6 linked regions of the Mus musculus genome follow. The protein of the gene in region 6 purifies or fractionates together with the protein of the main gene of each other region. This does not show direct contact. Links are inferred from orthologs where the notes say so. Each region holds a gene or a part of one and is shown on either strand. Other genes may lie near its edges.

The links.
Region 1: the proteins of Ptpn14 (region 6) and Wwc2 purify together in Homo sapiens (affinity purification with mass spectrometry, with the first as the bait; 3 studies listed by BioGRID). This does not show direct contact. The link is inferred for Mus musculus from reciprocal best matches to the Homo sapiens genes PTPN14 and WWC2.
Region 2: the proteins of Ptpn14 (region 6) and Pdlim7 purify together in Homo sapiens (affinity purification with mass spectrometry; 3 studies listed by BioGRID and IntAct, counting the BioPlex papers as one, with this or other methods). This does not show direct contact. The link is inferred for Mus musculus from reciprocal best matches to the Homo sapiens genes PTPN14 and PDLIM7.
Region 3: the proteins of Ptpn14 (region 6) and Wwp1 purify together in Homo sapiens (affinity purification with mass spectrometry; 3 studies listed by BioGRID). This does not show direct contact. The link is inferred for Mus musculus from reciprocal best matches to the Homo sapiens genes PTPN14 and WWP1.
Region 4: the proteins of Ptpn14 (region 6) and Stxbp4 purify together in Homo sapiens (affinity purification with mass spectrometry; 3 studies listed by BioGRID and IntAct, counting the BioPlex papers as one, with this or other methods). This does not show direct contact. The link is inferred for Mus musculus from reciprocal best matches to the Homo sapiens genes PTPN14 and STXBP4.
Region 5: the proteins of Ptpn14 (region 6) and Wwc1 purify together in Homo sapiens (affinity purification with mass spectrometry; 7 studies listed by BioGRID and IntAct, counting the BioPlex papers as one, with this or other methods). This does not show direct contact. The link is inferred for Mus musculus from reciprocal best matches to the Homo sapiens genes PTPN14 and WWC1.

The regions. Positions count from the first base shown.
Region 1 is NC_000074.6:47,868,545-47,872,044, forward strand, and holds part of Wwc2 (protein WWC2), read right to left. Parts: intron 1,325-3,500; coding exon 1,235-1,324; intron 248-1,234; coding exon 1-247. UniProt on the Homo sapiens protein: Regulator of the Hippo signaling pathway, also known as the Salvador-Warts-Hippo (SWH) pathway.
Region 2 is NC_000079.6:55,506,947-55,510,446, forward strand, and holds part of Pdlim7 (PDZ and LIM domain protein 7), read right to left. Parts: intron 2,098-3,500; coding exon 1,946-2,097; intron 1,865-1,945; coding exon 1,834-1,864; intron 1,381-1,833; coding exon 1,262-1,380; intron 935-1,261; coding exon of another isoform or gene 918-934; intron 747-917; exon of another isoform or gene 679-746; coding exon 542-678; intron 421-541; coding exon 384-420; intron 178-383; coding exon of another isoform or gene 1-177. UniProt on the Homo sapiens protein: May function as a scaffold on which the coordinated assembly of proteins can occur. May play a role as an adapter that, via its PDZ domain, localizes LIM-binding proteins to actin filaments of both skeletal muscle and nonmuscle tissues.
Region 3 is NC_000070.6:19,706,205-19,710,336, forward strand, and holds the start of Wwp1 (NEDD4-like E3 ubiquitin-protein ligase WWP1), read right to left. Parts: upstream 2,801-4,132; 5' UTR 2,635-2,800; intron 1-2,634. UniProt on the Homo sapiens protein: E3 ubiquitin-protein ligase which accepts ubiquitin from an E2 ubiquitin-conjugating enzyme in the form of a thioester and then directly transfers the ubiquitin to targeted substrates.
Region 4 is NC_000077.6:90,607,109-90,610,608, forward strand, and holds part of Stxbp4 (syntaxin-binding protein 4), read right to left. Parts: intron 344-3,500; coding exon 237-343; intron 77-236; coding exon 1-76. UniProt on the Homo sapiens protein: Plays a role in the translocation of transport vesicles from the cytoplasm to the plasma membrane. Inhibits the translocation of SLC2A4 from intracellular vesicles to the plasma membrane by STX4A binding and preventing the interaction between STX4A and VAMP2.
Region 5 is NC_000077.6:35,837,899-35,841,213, reverse strand, and holds the end of Wwc1 (protein KIBRA), read left to right. Parts: intron 1-782; coding exon 783-904; intron 905-1,969; coding exon 1,970-2,036; 3' UTR 2,037-2,815; downstream 2,816-3,315. UniProt on the Homo sapiens protein: Regulator of the Hippo signaling pathway, also known as the Salvador-Warts-Hippo (SWH) pathway.
Region 6 is NC_000067.6:189,727,100-189,731,067, reverse strand, and holds the start of Ptpn14 (tyrosine-protein phosphatase non-receptor type 14), read right to left. Parts: upstream 2,801-3,968; 5' UTR 2,404-2,800; intron 1-2,403. UniProt on the Homo sapiens protein: Protein tyrosine phosphatase which may play a role in the regulation of lymphangiogenesis, cell-cell adhesion, cell-matrix adhesion, cell migration, cell growth and also regulates TGF-beta gene expression, thereby modulating epithelial-mesenchymal transition.

The sequences.
Region 1 (3,500 bases), on a different chromosome or scaffold from region 6:
GACCACCTCATTTTCGTGGATGGTGGTGATGGGTCCGGAAGGAATGTAGCCACCCTTCTCTTGAAGAAGGAAGTCCAGTTTATACTGATAGTCTGTGTCCATCTGGTCGCCCTGGCTGCTGTAATAGAGTTCACTGGAACTGAGGGAGTTGAGTGACCCCCTGCTGGAGGTGTTCAGAGAGCCCCGACTGGAGGCCAGGGACCCTAGACTGCTCCCAGATGACATGGACAGTGTGCTGGAGGAGAGGCTGGAAACAGGAGAACAACACACTGTAAACTCTGCGTTCCACAACAAACACAGCTACAGGCCCCGGTGGCTCCCACAGCCCAGGCAGAGGACGTCTCTACTGGAACACAGACTTCCCTACCCACTCACTACTGTCACCAACCTGGCTCTCCACATACACCTCATCAATCACAGCTACCAGGAGTGGTGGCGCACGCCTTTAATCCTAGAACTTCAGAGGCAGACAGATATCTGAGTTCAAGGATAGCCTAGTCCACATAGCCAGCTCTAGGATAGCTACACAGAGAGTCTCTGTCTCAAAAATACATACATACATTAACTAGTCTTTTAAAAATTTAATGATCCAAGCGGGTAAAGCGGTGTACACCTTTAATCCCAACACTCAGGATTCAGAACCAGGTGGACCTCTGAGGTCAAGTTCAGCCTGGTCTACATATCCAGTTCAGGCCGAGCCAAGGCTTCACAGTAAGATTATCGTTCCCACTACCAATGATGCACCTTTTGCAAAATTTAAATTTAAAAAAAAAATCAAATGCCTTGCAGAGTCATCCACAGCCACTTCATACTTCATACAGGGCAGCTTCTGTCGCTAAGGAGAAAGGCTTCCTATGAAGGCCACCGAGCCCCAGCTCACCAGGAATGCCAGGGTGACATGCTAAGCCGTGCCAGAAAGTCACATCAGCGATTTCACAGGGACCTTCCAGCTCGTCGGTAACAGGTGGGATAACGGCTGTGATAAGGTATTTTCTCAAGTCTTGAGTGACAGATAAAGTCAACCCTCTTTCTGTGGGGTATTTCAAAATGCATCCTAAATATAAACAAGGATTTTGGAGGGGAAAATGTACTTCTGCATTTGGTACTTCAGACATTAATTGAGTGAGGGTAACTGACTTGTTCACTTTTAAGCAGCTAAAAACCAACTAAAGAGGACCAGGCCGTGCCTGGACGCTGTGGGAAACAGTTCCCTTGAAGAACATAGCTAGCTTACCTTTGAAGTTGCGAGTACAAGGAAGTAGTTAACTTAGTAGTTTCTTCAAGTTTCTGTAGCAGCTCTTTTCTTTTCTCTTCCAATTTCAATCTAGGGGAAAAAAAGAGAAACAACAGAAGACATTAATTTTCAAATGAAAGTGTAAAAACCCAAATTAACAACAGAAAACCTGATTATCCCAGAATCACGTGTAAGAAGGGAGCACTGGCTGGTTTTGTGTGTCACTTGACACAGCTGGAGTTATCACAGAGAAAGGAGCTTCAGCTGGGGAAATGCCCCATTGAGATCCAGCTGTAAGGCATTTTCTCAATTAGTGATCAAGGGGGAAAGGCCCCTTGTGGGTGGTGCCATCTTTGGGCTGGTAGTCTTGGGTTCTATAAGAGAGCAGGCTGAGCAAGCCAGGGGAGGCAAGCCAGTAAAGAACATCTCCCCATGGCCTCTGCATCAGCTCCTGCTTCCTGACCTGCTTGAGTTCCAGTCCTAACTTCCTTGGTGATGAACAGCAGTATGGAAGTGTAAGCCGAATAAACCCTTTCCTCCCCAACTTGCTTCTTGGTCATGATGCTTTGTCCAGGAATATAAATTCTGACTAAGACAAAGGGGATGTCTGTTTGACCTTGGTAAAGAGAAAACAGAATAACCAAGAGAGAAGGAACCAAACAAGGTTACAGCCATGATAAATAAACTAACTGGGGGTTACGTCCAGTCCCAGAGCTTGGAAAACTCAGTCTTGGAGAAATGGCAAAGGGGTTACAGCAGCGGCACCAAGCCCAGCAAAAGCCCAGCAAAGACTGCAGGATCTTACGGGACTGCAGGCTGACTTGTCACCTAGAAACCATTGGGCAGCAATTTGGAAATGCAAAAGGCCACCTTAGGTACTGAATTCATTGAGTGCTGCTATAAAATAGCGCCTACAGTGCTCAGTTCCTGGGACTTTTAGCTGACAGAGGCCGTTCCACAGGGCGCTCTGGGCCCAATCCTGTCTTATCTCTTGGAGCACATTACCGTACAGGTAGAGCACTGTACAATTTTATCTCGAAACAAACTCATTTCAAAAGAGGTCAGGCATCGAAAGAAAATGCACAAGTTGAATCAGCGGGGACTTGAGACTTCATCCAAGGAAGGCAGTGCCTTGATCCTGCTCTGGGATACCCAGCTTGTGAGCCCAGGACCCTCTGGCAAGCTGCTGGCTAGAGGGGCTCGCCTTCCCTCCTGCGTGTACCTGACAAAAGGTAAAGGGATCAAAGGGACTAAGGCATGGGACAGTGCTCTACAGGCCACAGAACAATCACACTAGCTCACAGCCCTGCAAGGTCGGGCTATACACAATTAGGTTTGGAGAAAAAAAATAAAACCTACCCAATTTCATCTTATTTATAGGTACCTATTCCTTTGATTGTCTACAACACAACTTCTATTATATCTTACAATTAAAAAGTAATTCTTAACCCTGTCTCGAAAAAAACAAAAAAAAAGTAATTTTTGCCATTTTCTGTAACACTGTTGTGATCAATTCTTTCACAATTGCATTTTAAAGAACAGCTACTTTTTGAAATCTCTTAGACAAATCTATTCAATCAGGAAGAAAAATTAATGCAAAGAAGAACTGAGTCAGAAGACATGATGGTCTGGAGGAAGCCCCAAACACTGCCAATATATATATATATATATATATATATCCTACATATCAGATTTCTTAATGCACAGGGCTTTTCTCCCGTTCTCCAGGCCGTGATCTTGCTCAGCAGCTCCTGTGTCAGCTCCTGTAGGCTGCTCTCAGCTACCAGGCTGGGCTTTGGGCTCATGTGAGTGAGTGAGGGGGGGGGGGGGTGAGTGTCTGTGTGTGTGGTATGTAGGCCAGAGGTTGATGTTGATGTCTGGTATCCTTGGAGATCATTTTCTACCGTATTCATTTTCACTGTTTTATGTGGATGGCTGTTTTGTCTCTGTGTAGGTTTGTGTACCACATGCATGCATAGCCTGCAGAGGACAGAAGAGGGTCCTCTTCCTCTACATAAACTTCTTGCTGGAGTCACTAGAGGGACGATAGAGGAACCCTAAAAAGCCACAGAAACTTAGTAGGGCAGCAGTTTCTGCCCTTCATGTCGTCATCAAGCTTCTCCGCCGAGGGCACCTGGGCTGCAGGTCTTCTTCAGACTCTGAAGTGTCCTTCCTCCCAGGGGACTATGACTGCAGTCCTCTTTCTGCACTCGGCTGTCTGAGCTCCTTACCAGCCCTGTCCTTCTGGTGTCTTCATCCAGAAAGG
Region 2 (3,500 bases), on a different chromosome or scaffold from region 6:
AGAGCTGGAGGCACCCGTGGGGTGCCCTGGAGTGAGTAACAGAGAAAGGAAGCAGAGGGCAGCAGGCTGGGAAGGCCAGGCTATGACTGCACGTTGAGCACGTGGGCAGAGCGCTGGTGGTGCCAGTCCCGGAGACGTGTATAGCGTGGGCTCTGTAGCTCCAGGACATACTTTTCCCTGAGGGGCAGAGAAAGAGAGAGAGGAGGAGGAGGAGGAAGTGGAAGGAAGGAGAGATGGAAGGGAGGCAGGGAGGATGGAGGGAAGGAAAGGAGGAAGGGACAGAAGAGAGCTCTGGCAGGGGATGGCCAGGAGCAGCCGAGGGCTGGTGGCTGGAAAGGAAGAAGTGGGAGGTTAGGGAGAGGGGTTAGCGCCCAAGCTTTTACCTTGACTTCTTCATGAATTCCTCATCCGGGTCTTGCACTGAGAGGACAGAGGCAGGCATTGACCAAGAGAAACAAGGGCCACCCCAGCCATGAGTCCTGGCAAAGTCAGGCCCAGGCTGAGGTCAGGAGAGTCTGCCCTGTCCTGGGCCAGCACTTACTGAACTCTGTGCCCGTGAGGTGGGCAAGGATGCGGAAGGAGCGGGACTGGCCTGTCCCCGGCCGCGGCCGCCAGTCTTCGGTATCCTCCATCAGCCGCTGCTTGCTGGCATCGGGGACCGGCTGTCTGAGCAACTGTCTATGGGAAGGGCAGAGCTCAGAACCTCTGGTTCTGTGGGCACCAGGGGCTGCCCCTCCCAGGACGTGATGTGCACGGGTTCTGGTGACAGCAGGGGGTTGGGGGGTAGGAGGGTGAGGCAAAGGGTTTGGCTGGGTAGGTGGGTAAATCAGAGGAGGTCAGGACAGGCAGGACAGGGAGGGGCCACCACCCAGAGTGCCAAAAGGGAGGAAAGTGACAGGAAGAGAGGGCTCACTAACTTGTCAGAGGTCTGCACCTGTGAAGGAAACAGACAGATAGACAGATAAAGGGACAGACACAGGAGAAGAATGACAGGGGGAATCAGAGTGGTGGAGAGGGAGGCGAGGTAGCAACGAGTTTGTGAGACTCAGCTGGCCCACAGCACAGGCTAACCCCAGGCTGCTCAGCAGGGCAGAGCCTGTGGAAGAGCAGTAGCCCCACCCGGCCGCCAGGGGTTGCTGCCACACGGTTAAGGGGCTGGGGTCCGGCACAGACTGAGCGGTAGCAGGCAGCTTGTGTGTGTGCTTGTGAAAGGACCAGACAGTGTGCAGAGGTTGGAGTGGATGGGCAGGGGCTGACATACCCATTCTGCCGCAGGGTGCTGTCAGTAGGTGGGGGTGCCCCGAAGGGCCGGGCCGTCTTGTTGAGGGAGGCGCTTGGTGCAAAAGTGTACCTCGGGGGGTCGGCGGGAGGGGTCAGGGCCTGGGCAGAGACAGAGCCGGGCAGGGTGGGTGGGTGGGTGGGAGTTGAGGCTGAGGTGGGAGCGGAGTCACCACCACCAAGAACAGTGACAGGTCCGGCCCACTCTTACACATCTGGCCAGAGGCTAGGATGAAGGGGTAGTAACTACGACTTCAAGGGGCCCATTGGGAAGTGATGAATTCAACCCGCTCTGGACCAAGGGTGACCAAGGGTGGGTAGGCACACACAGCACAGGCTTGTGGGAAGAAGCAGGCAGACAGATAGGCAGGCAGGCACGTGTGGCGCCCGGACCGTGCGGCAGCTCCTAGCTCCACTCTCATGTTCCCCAGACCCTGCCTGTTCTGGCGTCTGCCCTTAGCCAGAGAGAGGGTCCCAAGGCTGGGCCAGGGGTGGTAGGTTAGCCCAGGCTAAGCCCCTCCCTCTCTCAGCCAGGACATCTCCTGTATAACCTACCTTCTGTGGTTTGCTCTGAACAGGCTGGGCTCTGGAGAAGAAGAGAGACGCAGTCACAGCAGGTAAGAGACCAGAGGCTATCCACACCCCTTCTGCCTGTCAGCACCTGTACCTGCTAAGACCCAGGCTGAGGCGCTCCCCACAGGCGCGGATCTTGTTCTGGGCTTCGATGTGCGTGAGGCTGCCCGCGTTCTCACCGTCAATATTCAGTACCCAGTCTCCCACAGCCACACCGGCCTGTGCAGCTTTGCCTCCGGGCGTGAGCTGTAGAGAAGAATGGTCAGAGGTCCATGGGTGCATAACCAAGCTGCACACTCCCTCACAGTCCAGATGCTGTTGGTAAACAGCCACCTTCAGGTTAGAGCCCACACTCGCAGGCTAGGACCATAGCCTTTGACAGCTATGTTTTCTGAGGCCTCAATAGGCTGTTTTACCCACCAGCCTGCCCTCCCAAGACAGCCACCTACCCGTGTTGCTGAAACTGGGCTACGAATTGATCGGGGTCACCTATATCCTGTTAAATGTCTCCTATCTGAGAACCGCTACTGCCCCCCACCCCCATCAAGGCCAAGTCCTGGCTCCTCTCCCGGGCACTGAATGTCTTCACGAATGTACTCTCACTTTTATTTTTTTAGCTTTGGTGACCAAGGCTTACGGCTTACCAGGAATCAGCCAGTGCCGCTGGCTATCATTCCACCATTTGCCACACAAACCAGAAATTCCCAACTCAAAGCCAAAGGGATTGGGGGCATGGTGGTTCACCACAGGTCTGAAACCACAGGGCCACTCGACCATCTGATACCACACAAAGCATTTACACTTGACAGGTAGTAGGAAAAGCGGGGAGCAGGATGCCCAAGGTCCCAGAAGGCTCCTCAGGTGAGCTAATGCAATGTGTACTGAAGCAGACAGAGAAGATGAGGGCTTCTAGAGATGTCAGGGACAGAGGGACCTCATGCAGACACTGTCAACTCTGGTACAGAATGGGGAGCTGGACCTGACAGCTTTATTTTGTGCCTGAAAGGGAAGTTAGCAGAGGAGAGAGCTGGTGAGTCACAGCCTTCTTTACCTGATAACATACGGTAAGAATAGAATCTCACAGAACACCTAGGCTCGACACCAAATCTTCCAACACCCTTGCAGGAGTCTGGGGATACACCCTGTTCACACTCAGAAAAAAACTGAATTACAGATCACCTGAACTCGGTCTCCAGCTAGCAAGGGGTGCAGCCAGGATTTGGGCCTGACTGGAAGGCTCCACTACAATAGGGCACAAACGAGAGACCAACACACCCAGTAAAGACGCTGGGATAGCCAGATGTATGGCCTACACCCAGCACTGGGGAGGCAGAGGCAGGTGGATTTTTGTGAGTTCAAACCCAGCCTGGTCTGCGTAGTGAATTCCAGAGTGGTCAAGACTACACAGAGAGACCCTGCCTCAAAAAACTAGTAAAATTAATTAATTAGATAAAATCAGGGGAAGCAAAACAAGACTCTGGGGTGCCAGGCATGGTATACGTGTGATGCTAACACTCAGGCAGGCTAGGCAGAAGGACTGGCAGCTCAAGGCAAGATGCCCCCTCATTCCGTGGCTGTTTGGGGTCTGTATGTCCCCTCTCACCTTTGTTTCACTCCAAAGAGCCCCTAATAATGGGGACGGGGAAGTG
Region 3 (4,132 bases), on a different chromosome or scaffold from region 6:
TCTTTAGTTTCTTTAGTTAGTAATTCCCCAAAGCCTATGAACATCATACAGGCCTGCTAAAGATAACACTTCTATGCTACCATCACTTTCCCGATGGACATGGGTCAGAATCATTATTTTAACTTTAAAAAAAACAATTATTTCAGCTGGGCATAGTGATGCACGCCTTAATCCCAGCACTCAGAAGGCAGAGGCAGGTGGATCTCTGTGAGTTCGAGGCCAGCCTGGTGTACACAGTGAGTTCCAAAGCAGCCACAGCAACACAGTAAGACCCCGACTTCTAAAAAAAAAAAATTTGTGAAGGGAAGAGGATGTGTTTGTGTCACTGTGCAAGTATAAGGGTCAGAGGACAACAACTTTGGAGAGTAGATTACTTTTCTACCAAGGGGGTTTTATGATCAAGTGTAGGTCACCAGGATTGGCAGCAAACACCTTTACCCACTGAGTCATCTTGGCAATTATTTTAACTTTAACTTGATTGCCAAATTCTATCCTGCTTTCCTGTCCTTTCCACTTGGTCAGACCCCTGCTATCTGTAATGATGGAAATCCTGGGGTAATTTATGAATTTCCAGGTTCCTCCTACCTCAATTCATACTACACAATGCCACTAGATTAATTTTTCTAAGCCAAGGTGTAAAATTGTTTCTTAAACTCAACAATCTCCTGTGGGCCCCACACTGTCTAGTAACCTGAAATTCATCTCAATTTAATAATAACTCTTGGGCCAAGAGTGGTAGCGAACCCTTTAATTCTAAGGCTGGGAAGGCAGAGGGAGATAGGTAGATCTCTGAGTTCAAGGCTAACCTGATCCACAGGGCAAGCAAGTTCCAGAACAGTCACATCTACGTAGCAAGACCTGTTCCAAAACAAAACTAAAGAAAGAAAAACCACCTTGTTACTGGTCTTGGTTTTTATTTCAAATTTTCTTACCCTATATCCGAAATCCTGCAGACTCCATCCAAACCCTCTTAGAGTCCTCTACATGAACTACAGTTCCTTGTTGACTTCTTGTCATCCTTCATGCCACCCTTCAGTCCAGAGTCCTCAAAATACAAAACCCCTTAACTCATGTAAGAAGTACCCTCTCTGAACTCGACTTGAGACAATTTTATATATTTATGAAACATACACACACGCACACAAAGGTATTCTGGGCATGGTGGCATAGACCTATGACCTCAGAGGCAGGAAGATGGCAAGTTCAAGGCCAGACTGGGCTTTGTAGTGAGATCCTGCCATTTATTCACAGGGACATAAAAGGAGCATCGGTATATAACCCAACACACATACCTCCTCCATAGCCTGCAAAGACAGAAGCTGCTAACCATTTGATCTACATATACCTCCAAATACCTCACTGTCATGCAGTTGATGCTTAATAATTGTGCAAGGATGTAACAGAAATTTCAGCCAACTCAAGAGATTACCATCTCTTTGAAGGCAAGAGACCTGATCAGCCATGCCCTGGGTTTCAAAAGTACAGTGTCTTAAAAGCAGCTCTACATTTTACGTGAAGAATTATTTGGAAATGTTAATAATCTATGTCTCAAAGAGCTAAGTCACATTTCTCAAGCATCTCAATTTCAACAGCTCCAACACTTGGACATTATCTTTGAATTTAAAATGTTAACTAGTTATTTAAAAAATGGTAATTTTCAGTCAGCTTAAGCACATAGTTTTATGGCTCAAGGAAGTTAGATAAATGAAAGAATGTCTTTTTTAAAAGGAGAGTTTTACTAGCAGTTACATACAGACTTGGTGAGACATGTTAAGTGGATTTATACATAAGCAAAAACTCTTACAGAAACCTACAGACAACTGTGAACAGGGTATTTCATCAGGGGTAAAAAAAACACCAAATGGGGAGTGGGAAGGTAACTCTGGCATTTTTTTCCATAACTCTAAGTAGCGGCATTTTAGGGGGAGGAATTCAATTTTATGCACACAAAAAGATGAAACATTAACAGGGAAAACACAGACATTTGTGAAATATTTTATGGTGGACGAGTAAAATATTTCAAAAGCATAATAGATACACCTTCTTTTTGGTAATAATGAAGAGGAATCGCTTAGAGCAAAAGAACTTACAACTCCAAACCGATGAGTAGAAAGCCATACAGCCCTAAGCCACAAACTGATCATTTAAGGACTGTAAAGGCTAAAGGCGACGGGCAAAGTACCAAATCCTAACAATACTACATTTTAAAAGAAGATTTAAAGGAAAAGGACCCAAATCACGAGATGAGGATTAGAAAATTTTGCAAGGTCACTTGAACCTACCAGGTCACCAAAGGTGGAGATTAAGATTGTTGGTGAGAGGAGGTGCGGAGTCAGTGAAAAAAAAAAAAAAGCTGAATGCTAAAAACGTGTCAGAAAAGGACGTTCTGAGGCTGGCGTCCCGGCTCGCGCCGGTGGGATCCGGGTGAAAGTCAGGGCAGCAGTTCTGAGGCGGGGAAGCTGGGACGCCAGCAAGCCGCCGGTCAGGAGGCTGAGCACTGCAGTCACCGAGCCACTTCGCCGGGCTCCGGTGTCACCCGCACAGGCCGGTGCCAGGGCCAGCTCGGGGCAAGCCCGGCGACCCCACCCCGGCGAACTCCGGCCCGGCCGCCCTCCAGAGCCCCGCTGTACTTACCCGCGCAAAGCTGCGGCTCCCGGGGCCCGCAGCCACCGCGGCGGCGCCTCCTCAGCCCTCCGCGCCCAAGATCGCCATCTCGCAGCAGGCGTCGGCCGGGCAGCTCAGGCCGCCCGCAGCCACTCGGATCCCGCACGCCAAGCGCGCCGACACCCGGCCCTCCCCCCACCCACCCCGGCCTACACCTCCCTTCCTCGGGAGCGCGCAGCGTGCTCGCGACTCCGCTGCCGCTGCCGCGCACGGGCGCGCCTCCCCGCCGGGGCCGCTCTGAGCCTCTGGTCCAGACCGGGAATCCAGCTGCCCTCGAGCATGCGCAGCGAGCGCGCGCCCAGCCCGCCTAGGGGCCACTCCGCTCCTCCGGGTCTTCCAGGCGGTCAGGCGGAGAGGCACGCCAACCAATAAGGGAGAGGAGGTGGAGCCAGAGCCGGAAAGGGGGCGGGGCAGCCGCCGGGAAGCCGGTGGTGACTTGTGAACAGCAGCTACCTGGTCTGTTCAGTCAGCTGCAGAGCTTCCTGCATAACCTCAGGGAAGACCCTCCAGGCACGTCCGTGCTTTCGCAGCCAAAGTAGGCTGCGAAGGAAAACCCCTTGACCTCGCTTTAATATTTGATTTAGGGTCCATTAGTAATGGTAGTCACACGAGACCATTGTGTTGGTAATGAAATTGTTCCTTTCTCTTGGCACCACAGTGGCCCAGGGACAAAGCTACTACTGATTGAGCAAGTGCATATATCCCTTTTCGTACAGTTAATGGACACAGTAATTCTGAAAGGTAGCTGTCTCTTGACTCTTTGACACAATGAGTCAACTGGTTTAGAAAAGAGCTGTTGGTAATTTACATTGCGAGAAAGGTCACACTGCAGTGTAATGACCACATTACTCACCATATGGCCCGCCATTCTACTTCAGAGAAAGAACAAAAGTTCTTCCAGAATAAATAGTACATTTAGCCAAACACCTCAGCTAGACCTCACAAATTAATTTAAACCCACCCCAGAGCCGACTAGTTCTCTTGTCAGAAAAGTTCACGAATCCTGGCTTCTTGTTGCCTGTGACACCTTTAACTTCACTACTCCATAGGTAACAAGTTCTCAGCCTAATCACCTTGTAACATTTCTGTTCTAAATATCTTGTTAACATTAAACCACCTTTCTGATTCACTCCGTTGTTGCTGCAACTTTTGAAGAAGAGAAAAAAGTAGTCTACCAAGAAGAACACTAAGGCTCCATGAGTATTTGTAGGACTCAGTAAATACCACTTGAATGAACAAACGTTCATTCTTTTCCACTCTGGTCCATTAGTTACTAGCCCCTAATTTTACATATAAGTTAGGGGCATATGCCTATGGTGCACAAAAATCTCTCAAAAATGTACATGACAATTTTACTTTTCTTCAACCTATTCCTCTTGCTGTGATAAATGACTGGTCCAAAACAACTTAAGGGAAATGGAGTTTACGCTGGCTCATACCTAGTGACCGGAGCTTGAAGCAGCTGGTC
Region 4 (3,500 bases), on a different chromosome or scaffold from region 6:
TGGACAGCAAATATTTCCTGGATGGCCACAGTAAGACTTTTGTCTGATGAATGCTATCTCCCAGGGAGATTCTGACCTACGATGTAAAGAGATTACTATGTGGATATGTGACAAATACAGTGAAGTAAACGCAAAGACAGTACTCCTAGGAGAGCGAGACCTTTAAGATATCCTAGTCTCCACCTTTAGATATAGATGCTAAATGACTCATCCTATCATAGGGGTGGAATCGTTACCTCAACTTGGCTCTGGTAATTATGCTTTTTGCTTCTTCAAATGATACACCAATCATAGATTCCTTGTTTATTGAGACAAGTTGATCTCCTGGCTTCAAACGTCCATCCTAAAAACAAAAGCCAAACAGAAAATTACAAATAATAATAATAATAATAATAATAAAGTAGATTTTAATAAAATTAACATAATAAAAGCAGCTAATCTTGTGAATAATGTCATAAACAGAGTAAAAAGATTAGAAAATCCAAATGTTTTTTCAAATAAAGCAGAATGTTTTATTAATACCTGGTTAAGAATTATACATAAGCAAAATTGTGTGGTTTATACACGATAATGAATTGCCCTACCATAGGAAACTGGCCTGTATACAAAAAGGCACTTGTTTTCAAAGCTCAGCTCTATGAGTCTGATAAGATTCTGACTTGGATAAAGCAAGCCAAGCCCTCACTGCATATTGAATATTTCAGAATAGGAGACTCATCCATCCTAGTGAAGGGGCATTCTGCCTCTCTCCACCTACCAAACTGATTAATGGAGATATAAAGACACATGTATAGGCATGCATGCATGCACATACATACACATACATGCATGCACAATCACACACACACATACATGCACACACATGCAGACTCATACAAACATGCACGCTGACTTTTTAAAACCAAAGTTAAGAAACCAGTTGCACTGGTTTTATCCCAATCTTCCTTAGTAATCAGGTACCCTCTTTACTAGACTCGTCAACCCTGCCTGTGGCCGAGCCATGAGGCTGTGCACACGGCATCATATGTCACGAGCATGCCATGCTGATAATCACCTATTTTAACTGGCTGTCTTTGTTAAGCCCTGGCCTGGTGCATAACTCTCCCAAATACATAGACACAGCATAATCAATAATAAGATTGAATGTGGGGGCTGGTGAGATGGCTCAGTGGGTAAGAGCACCTGACTGCTCTTCCGAAGATCAAATCCCAGCAACCACATGGTGGCTCACAACCATCTGTAACGAGATCTGACGCCCTCTTCTGGTGTGTCTGAAGACAGCTACAGTGTACTTACATATAATAAATAAATCTTAAAAAAAAAAAAGATTGAATGTGGTTGTTGGGCCAGTATCTCAGTCACTTCTTTTTTCTCTTAATTCAACTGAAAACAAAAGTTCTTTTTTCCTTTTTCTTTTTTTTTTTTACATATTAAGTACCAAGACAGAAACTATTATTGCCAATCCTACAAAAAAAGCAAAGGATTTTATTTTGAGTGTCCTTCAAGGTTTGTGTACTAGGAGGTTGGTACCCCACTTGGCATACTTGGAAGCAGTTGAGATTTTTAGAGGTGGGGTGAGTGGTGGAACCAGAAATACTGGGGGCACACCTAAAAGAAGGAAGCCTGCCTTTTCTCTTTTGCTTCCTGGATGTTAGGGGAACATTGTCACTTTGTCACATCCCGCTAGAATATGATGCCTTAGGCCAAAAGAAATGGGCCAGTCAAGCAAGGACTGAAACACATAAAAGTGTGAATCTAAACAGACCATCTGTTGACTAACTCAGGGTTCTGATGTAGAGAGAAGGCTGACTAATATAACATAAGGTTAAAAAGCTTTCTTTTTTACTTTGATCATATTGAAATAATCTCTACAAATTTAGGAAAATTGACTTAAAATTGAATCTGAGTCAGTAGAGTGTTCAGCAACAATGGGACTTCTCTACCACTCTCCTCCTGTATGGCTCAGGCACATTGCTAATGTTGGATCCAGAGTCCAGGGAGAACTGCAATAGAGCAGTGTCTATTGAACATGGCAGGGCCACGGCACTTACGCATTTACAGTGGCTATGGCTGTCAGCACAAGATCTGGAAATGATCAAGCCAGTCGACATCCCAGCACGAGCCCCCCACCCTTAACTGAAGAGCACCTGGCTATTGAGGGCCTCTGGGGAGTGAGAGTCAGTTTTGTTTAAGTATGTGGCCCCAGGGTAGGTTGACCAAGGTCCGATGGCTGGCTCCACACCCATGAGTATATGGGCAGCACAAATTGGGCTCCATGTGTTATTAACAAAGGCAAGGGGCAAGAATTTGGCAATGAGGGAGTGAGGGGGGTCTAGATGTTTGAGAGAGGAGCAGGGGTGTATATGACTCCTAAATAGTATTTGAACCTCAAACAGTAAAAACATTACAATTAAGCTCATGGAGATCCATTGTGTTTCATGAAAAAACAACCATATCAAGACCATGCCCAGATACTTGGTATACAATCCACAATATGCTAGATTTCAGTTTTAAAATACCTCTTCTGTGAAAGCTACAGAAAAATAAGTAAAAATCTAGAGAGAGTGTGTTCAGGGAGCGCAGCTATGCTAGTTAAAATTAACTGTTAACCTGACACAACCCAGAAACACCTAACAAAATCTTAATTGAACAATTATCTGTATCAGGTTTGTTTGTAGGCATATCTGTGAGGAATTGTGTTGGTCCTTACTGTAGACCCAGTCCACTGTAGGAAGTGCTATATCCTTATAAGGTTTCCTGTGCTGCATAAGAGGGCCAATCAATGACCCAGAAAGTGGGTCAGCAAGCAGACCTACTCAGTTATTCTTGCCTCTAGATTCCTGCCCTGACTTCCATCAGTGATAGACTGTCATCTGGTACTGTAAGCAAAACAGAGCCTTTCTTCCCCTCTTTGATTTTGGTCACAGTCTATTATCAGTACAATGGAGTGTAATAAGTGGAAGAAGACAGAAAGTTTCAAGAGTGCTGGAAGTTCTCATTTATTCAGTCATTCTGGACAGCTCTGTGTTCTTTCAGTTACATTTCACGAGTTAGATGTATTCTAATATCCTTCCATACATGTTAAGCACACTACAAAAAAGAAAGCAATTTCTACATTCCTCAACATAAAGACAAAGCTACCACAGTGAACCCAGTAAGTTCAGTCCTACCCTGGGATCTATGGAATCGATTCTAGAATCTATACTCTAAAACTAGTATTGGAAGTAAGTCTCAAACCCAAAATTACTAGTATTACTCTAAAAATAAATAAATAATGTCATTGTTAATATTAACTCTAAAAAATTTAGACTATGAAAAATAATTATTAGTAACAGTTTATGAATTCTTGAATTGCTTTTTTTTTTGTTGTTGTTCTGGGAAATAACATCGAATTTTGAGAAGAGTCACACTGAAATCCATACATTAATTTTGGCATTATAGCTAGCTATTCATGATCTTAATTCTTCCAATTCAAGAGAATGAAAGGTCTTTTCATCATT
Region 5 (3,315 bases), on a different chromosome or scaffold from region 6:
CCATTTGGGGAGTTTTTATATGGTTTCCAGGGCATCAGCATCTAGGCACAATATGATTGGCGGAACAGGGCACCCTTTAAACTGATTGGTCTTTAGGGAATGAGGTGACAAGGACTTCCCTTGTCTGAAGGTGGGCAATGGTCAGTCCTGCAGAATGTGTCCCCACCTGCAGGTCGGTTCCACCCTGTTGTCTGAGAAATGTTAATTAGTCTCGCCCTTCAGCAAGGGCAAGTGTTTCATTACCTTCCCAAAGTTCCTGAGCTGACCTTTTCAAGGGCACTGGCTGTTCTTCTAGAGGTTCTTGGGTTCAATTCCCAGCAACCACATGGCGGCTCACAACCATCTGTAATGGGATCTGATGCACTCTTCTGGCACACAGGTATACATGCAGATAGAGTACTCATATACATAAAACTGAACGCATTTCTTTTTTAAATAAAAATTTAAAAACAAAAATCAAAAGTGAAACAAACAAAATTGAGTCATTTTCTTGGTCTGTAAAATCAAAGCTACTGTAAAATCTCCCCTCCCAAGTGCCTGAGGAGCAGGTAAGAAACACACTTCACTAGGCGTGTCCTGTCACAGTTCCTTCAGGCACAGGAAGGGCTTCTATTCCCTGCCTCAATCCTCAGTGGTCATCGGTGGATGATGTGAATATAACCCTACACAATGCCTTCTACACAATGCCGACTCTATGGTACAGACTCTGCATTGCTAACAGCGCCTCCTGCAGGCCAGAGGACTCTCTCCCACCTCACACTCTTGCTTGCCTTACCTCCCAGGTGGATCGTGGGGAGCACAAGAGTGAGTTGCAAGCCGACAAGATGATGAGAGCTGCTGCCAAGGATGTGCACAGGCTTCGAGGCCAGAGCTGTAAGGAGCCCCCAGAAGTGCAGTCTTTCAGGTGAGTGGATAATCCCAGTCTCATGCCTTCCGCTACCCCACCAGCTGCCTGGCCTTTATCGTCTTTGCTGGCCTCGTGTTCCCTGCTCCTGGGCACTGAATGCCCCTGTTGCTAGCAGAGCTGTAGCCTACATGGGAACAGATGTTCATCCTCTGCCAGGCTCCCATAATGCTGTGAGTACTGTGGTGCTCTGGGACCAGTCCCCACACAGCTCAGCCCAGTTTGTGAGATCCTCTTGTTTAATGAATGAACCACCTGCCTTATCCTTTCCTCTCAGCCTTTTCGGTACCTGGTAATTGCAGGGGCCTGGCTGGTGATAAAGAGGGGAGTGGCGTGCAATGGATGCTCACCTAATTTCCTGCCTCGGCTTGCTAGCCTGCCTAATAGAATCACAGCTGGGTGCTTGCCTTGCTGGACCTACACGTGTCAGAGGAGGGTCACAGATGTCATTTGGTGTGGGCCTTCCAACACAAAGGGATTTAGATTCATCCTCCATCCACTATAGTGTGAGTTCAAGGCCAACCTGTGTTCCATGAGACCCTGCCTCAAACACACACAAAAAACAAAAATAAACCAATGTTCATATACATACACACACACACATATATGCATATGTATATGTATGTGTTTCCTGTATTGATCATGCTAATGGGTCAAGCATGATTTTGTCTCCTATGTCACTCGCTGCAAAGATATTTGACTGTGTGTGTGTGTGTGTGTGTGTGTGTGTGTGTGTGTTGTTAAAGATGGGACTATGTGGATAGGAACTCAAAATCTCGGACCCAAGCTATGTTTGTCTTGAGCCTCTCAAGTTGCTGGGACTAGAGGCATGTATCACCATGTTCAGGGTTCATAGATTTCAGATTTCACAGCCAGAGTTCAGGCATGCTAACAGCATTTAATAGTGGCCAGAGCTATCACTAAGTATCCTACAGTATATAGTAGAGGTGTCTCTCAGTGGCAGACTGTGTGATTGGGATACATGATGCCCTGACCCTGAGCAGGGCTTTATCCTGTCCATACCTATGTGTTCAGTGAGGTTGAAACACCTGTTTTCCATCACAGGGAGAAAATGGCATTTTTCACCCGGCCTCGGATGAACATCCCAGCTCTCTCTGCAGATGACGTCTAACCACCAGAAAAGTATTTCCTTTGTCTCGTGCGCGCGCGTGCAGACCAAGCTGTGAAGGCTGACTGTGACTAATGTTATTTATGAGGCATTATATGAAGGTACTGAGTCACAAGTCCCCGAGCGCTCTTGTTGGTTTGAAGACAGATTTTTTTTTTAAATTTCAGGTTTTCTTGTTATTATTTAAAAAAAAAAATGACAAAGCAACCATAACAACAAAAACAAAAACCAAACAAACAAAAAAACCAGCATTAAAATGACAAGATTGTATAGTTTGTATATTTAGGAATGTATTTTTGGGAAAGAATTTAAATGAACTAAAGCAGCATTAAGTGGCTGCTAGTCTTAAAACTGTCTAGAGTTTTCTTTTTGTACAGCAACAACTTTCAGAGGTTTCCCTGCAATAATAAAAAAAAAAAAAGTTGTATTTGAGGGGCGACAATCCTCAAAGGAGGTCCCGCGGGTGGCACAGCACAGCTAGCCTGCCCTGGTTAACGTTATTTTGTACAATAATACAAAGACAAGGATGTACAGTAATCGTGGGGGAATTCGAAGACTGTCCGCGGATCTTTGTGAGCTGTGATGTGTCTTTCATGTGGCCACGTGACCGTGACCGGAAGCAGGTAGCCTGGAGCTGGCTGAACCGCCCGGACTGGTGACAGGCCACGCCCAGGCCACGCCCATCTCAGATGCCCAGTGACGCAGCTGTGGGAGTGAGGGGAGGGCTGCGGAGAACCGCATTTGGATCTATCTCTAACAATAAAGTGGCCTTTTAAGAAAGAGCTTCTTGTCATTTGTCCCTTTCACATCTTCACTTTTATTATGTCCCTGATTTCACTCAGCTCCAAATCCTGGGGGGGGAAATTTTGTTTTCCTTTTTCTTTTATTTTTCGAGTTATACTTATTTGTCCGTTAGATAAAAGTGACTGCTCAGCTCTTTGGGAACCTAAGGTCTGGTGGTGTATGTCTGTGTTTCCAGAACCTGCAAGGTGGACGCAGGAGTTTGAGACCTTCTCAGCAGTATGAAAACCTGTCCTTAAAAACTGAGCCTGGAGAGATGGCTCAGGAGTTAAAGGCACTGGCTGCTCTTCCTGGAGAACAGTATTTGATTCCAAGCACCCATATCGTGGCTCACAGCTATATGTAATTCCAGTTTCCGGGATCTGAGACCCTTTCTGGTCTCTGTGCATACCAAGTATGCATATGGTGCACAGACAGACATGCACCCACAATGCACATAAATAAATGACTAATGGGACATTGAGAGATGTGTCAGCAGTTA
Region 6 (3,968 bases):
CTCTGGAACCCAGGTGAGCTCAATTTGCTAGGAAGAGGCCAATACTTGTATCCCCCATTGGGAAAGGAATCCAGTAAAAAAAGCATACACTGGGGAAATCCTCACAGCCGTGGGCTTCTGCTCATCCCTGGGGCAAGGAAGAACTCGTCTGGAAGCCCTGATTGCCTCTGAATTCTTTGTGGTGTGCCAACATTAAACGTCTCCCTAAGGTGATTCTCTTCCAGCTGACCGTGGAACATAACTCACACCAGCTTGAGTAACTGCGGTGCTATGAGTTTGTACACACCAAGGAAGAACGCCTCGAGGAGACCCGGGACCAAGCAGCACAAAGCAGCGGCCTGTTGACACACATTTCTCTCATGCAGGTCCCACACACATTCCAGATCTTCCACCGTGGACATGCTTGCTCTTGGGATCGGAGTTGGGCTGAGAGAGAGTCCTGAATAAACACCCTAAATTGCAAGGAACCGCTCCGGCAGCTTAAGATACATGAAGGCTGGAGACCTTGCGTCTTAGCCAGGACCGACCACTAGGAATATGCACTTCAGCCCAGTGAACAAGTCCCCCAGAGAGGTGACTGTGGACAACCTCTCCTGCACTGAGGAGCTCTGCAGGCAGTGTGTGCTGGACCCTGAGTTACAAGGATGGAAAATTTCGGTTTCTACAGGTTCAGAGAGAGCAAAGAAAACCTCAAGATGCTGCGGAAACTCAGAAACTTCTTTGTTTGTTTGTTTGTTTCTTTCCTTCTTTCTTTTAGTTTTTCGAGACAGGGTTTCTCTGTGTAGCCTGCCCTGGCTGTCCTGGAACTCACTCTGTAGACCCAGCTGGCCTCGAACTCAGAAATCCGCCTGCCTCTCAAGTGCTGGGATTAAAGGCGTGTGCCACCGCTATCTGGTGGAAACTCCTTTTAAAAGCAGTGATTCTGAGATACATAGCCACATCCTTCAACTGATTCTCCACGTGCCAGCCACACAGTCACACGGGTAAGAGTGCTGCTAGGGAAGAAAGCTGTTAGGGATCTGGGAAAGGGATGAGCACTGGTGACTGGTGAGCACGAGGCCTGGACCAGGTTCTGTCCCCAGCACCAAAGAGGAAACTCCACTTGTAAGACACAAACTGCTCTCCCCATGTCAAAAGCTCTCAGGACAAGGTTCTGTAGTGGGGTGGGATGGTCCTCACGGGGATACTTTAACAAAACCAAGGATGGGTAAATTAACGACAATTAAACACCTGTCACCCTACAGAACCCTGTGGGAAACACATCAGGGGAGGGAACATGTCCAAGGGAACGCTTTTGATCCTTGGAAGCTACTCCTGGTCACGGGAAGTGGGTAAAAGACTTCCGGTTTCGTTTCTGCTGGGGTGGGGGCTAACTATGCCAGCAACATTGCACCAACCTGCCCATACATGCCCAGCCAGCCACCAGGTCGCTCTCCAAGACTTTCTGCACGCCCCTCTCCGCGCCCCTCACTTTGCCCAAGCTGTTCCCTCCTCTGGAATGCGGTCCCTCAACCACTCCTAAGTTGAGCATCATTCCCTCAACGAAGGTAACCCCTTTCCTCCAGGGCCTGGCCTTCCCAAGAGTCTCAGAACCCCTCTCTCACAGCACATGTCCCCATCCGCCCACGGCTGCCTGCAGGGTGCTGCAGACTCTTGTAATGTGATCTCTTAGCACAGGGGAAGACTCACCACTGAGTTTGTTGAATTAATGAGGGAGGAAATCCATTTCAAGAAATTAACGCATTTTGGAAATTGACCATACATACACCCATTCAGCAGCAGTCTGAACTCGCCTAAGTAGGACCCAGCTAATCCGTGAACCAACTAAACTCAAGACCCCAATATCTCCTCAAACCAAAGGAAGAAGGGCAAAGCGGGATAGTGACAGCGCACATCAATTCCTCCCAGAAAAGATAGGAAAACCATTCCCAAAGATTTAAAACTAGATGTGGCGTCACGTGGGAAAGGGGCTGTTAACTCTCAGAACTTGCAAAGTTCGAGTTGGAGATTGGTCTGAGATGAAGGTATTTTTCCCTGCGCGCCTGTAAGGATCACCCAAGCCGGGGCCAAGAGACTCAGGAGTTTGGTATCAAGGCTGAGGTATTGGGGAGAGGGCACAAGAACCCCCTCACAAACCCAGTGCCCACAGAGGCACAGGACAAGCTTTGGGCTCTGCGCTCTGTTCCCCTGCTCGCAAACACAACAGGAGCTGGAGGCGATGTTTTGGCTGAATCCGAGTCCCAGACCGCGCTCCCCTTCCAGCTCAATCCCGGACGAGCGAGCACTGCTAGCGAAGAGAACCGGCGGCCGGCCACCTGGCGCCCCCACCGCGCATCCCGGCGTCCCCGGCGGCGAACGAAGTTGGCTCTGCCTGGAGTATCTGCTCCCGACCGGCTAGCTTACCTGCTTACATGGCCCGGGAGTGCCCCGGGTGCCGCACGTTGACCATCAGGGAGTCTGGGTCCCCACCACTGGCTTCCAGGAGCTGGCAGAGGAGGGGCGCAGGGAGGGTTACGCAGCGGCCGGCGCGCCGGGCGCACCGGGGAGGAGAAAGGGCCAAGAACCTAAGCACCGCCGTCCCACGCGAGGGGACCCGGGCGATCAGAGAGGTGGGGCGCAGAGAGGGACCGCCAGCGGCCACTTGGTACCAGATGCTCCACGAGGACCTGCCCTGTGGACGAGACGGCTGAGCCGAGGAGCGCAGCTAGCTGGCCGGGCCCGCGGCCGAGGCGCTGGGCAGCCGGGAGAAGTTGTGCAGAACTTGAGCCTCCGGAGAGCCCGAGCGCCAGGAAGCGCGAGCGGCCGGGGAGGGCGGAGGAAGGGGCCGGGTGGGAGGGGACGAGCAGGCGCCGCTGGCCGCGCTCCCCCGCCCCGGGCTCTGCTCCGCAGTGCTGGGGGCCAGGAGGCGGGGAGCGCGCGGGGCGCTCGCTGGGCGGGCCAGGAATGCGTCCGGGGAGGGCGCGCGCCAGCCTCGGGGACGCGCGCCCTGCGCTGAAAAGAGGAGCCCGGGCTCCCCCGCTGCGGGCGCACGGTCCCCAGGGACGTCACAGCGCTGGAATCCGAGGAATGCCAGGCTGCGGGAGCTCCTTCGGCCGGCCGGGCAGAAGTCGTGCACTTTTAATGGGCTAGCTTTGGAGCGCGTTTTCCCTACCAAGGTGTGGGACGGTGGACTAAAGGAAAGTGCCCGGAGTGAGATAGACTGGAAGTGGAGAGGGGGCGATGACCCAAATCAACCAAACTGTGTGACGCTTAGGAGGCGGAGGGGAAAGAGGAAAGGAAAAGACCGTCCCTCCAAGATTTCCGTGGGCAGCTAAGGGGTGGGACACTGGAGCTAGAACAGGCCATTTATTTGAGGGAGGTCTCCAAGCAGGATGCCCCCATGCCGCCACCGCCCAGGAGACACGGGACAAAGTAGGGTGGCCTCCTTGAGAAGGCAATCTAGAAGCTCTCCTCAGAATCCTAGGATCTCTGAGTAGTGAGTCTTAGCTCCGGTCCTCCCACCCCGCCCCCACGGCCAACCAGCCTTTGTGTGCTGGAAGTTGGAATATGTGGTTTTCCCGGTTTGTTCCATGCCACGGAGGGGGCCCCACCCCGCCTGGGTAGGCACTGGGAGGGAACTGCGTTAGCACTTTCGGAGGTGGGGTTACTGAGGCGCAGCCAGTGTAATGGAAAAGGCACTCGGCCGGGCAAGGAAACCTGTATTAGGCCCCGCGGAGTTGCTGGCCCAGTGGTTAACTCAGGAAGATCCCAGCCCCCTACCCCTGATCCTTGGGTTTAGTAATTGTGAAGTGAAAGGAGTTGCCTATATTTTTAAGGTGCTTTGCATGTCTTGGCATCTGTTCTCTTCCTGAAATCTTAAGACCAGTCCTTTCAAGGACCCTGAAGTCCTTGTCACCCAAAATATCATTAAATTACTTCACTGTACAGGCAAGGGACACAAAACTTCCAGGCCTTATCCTATCAAAATG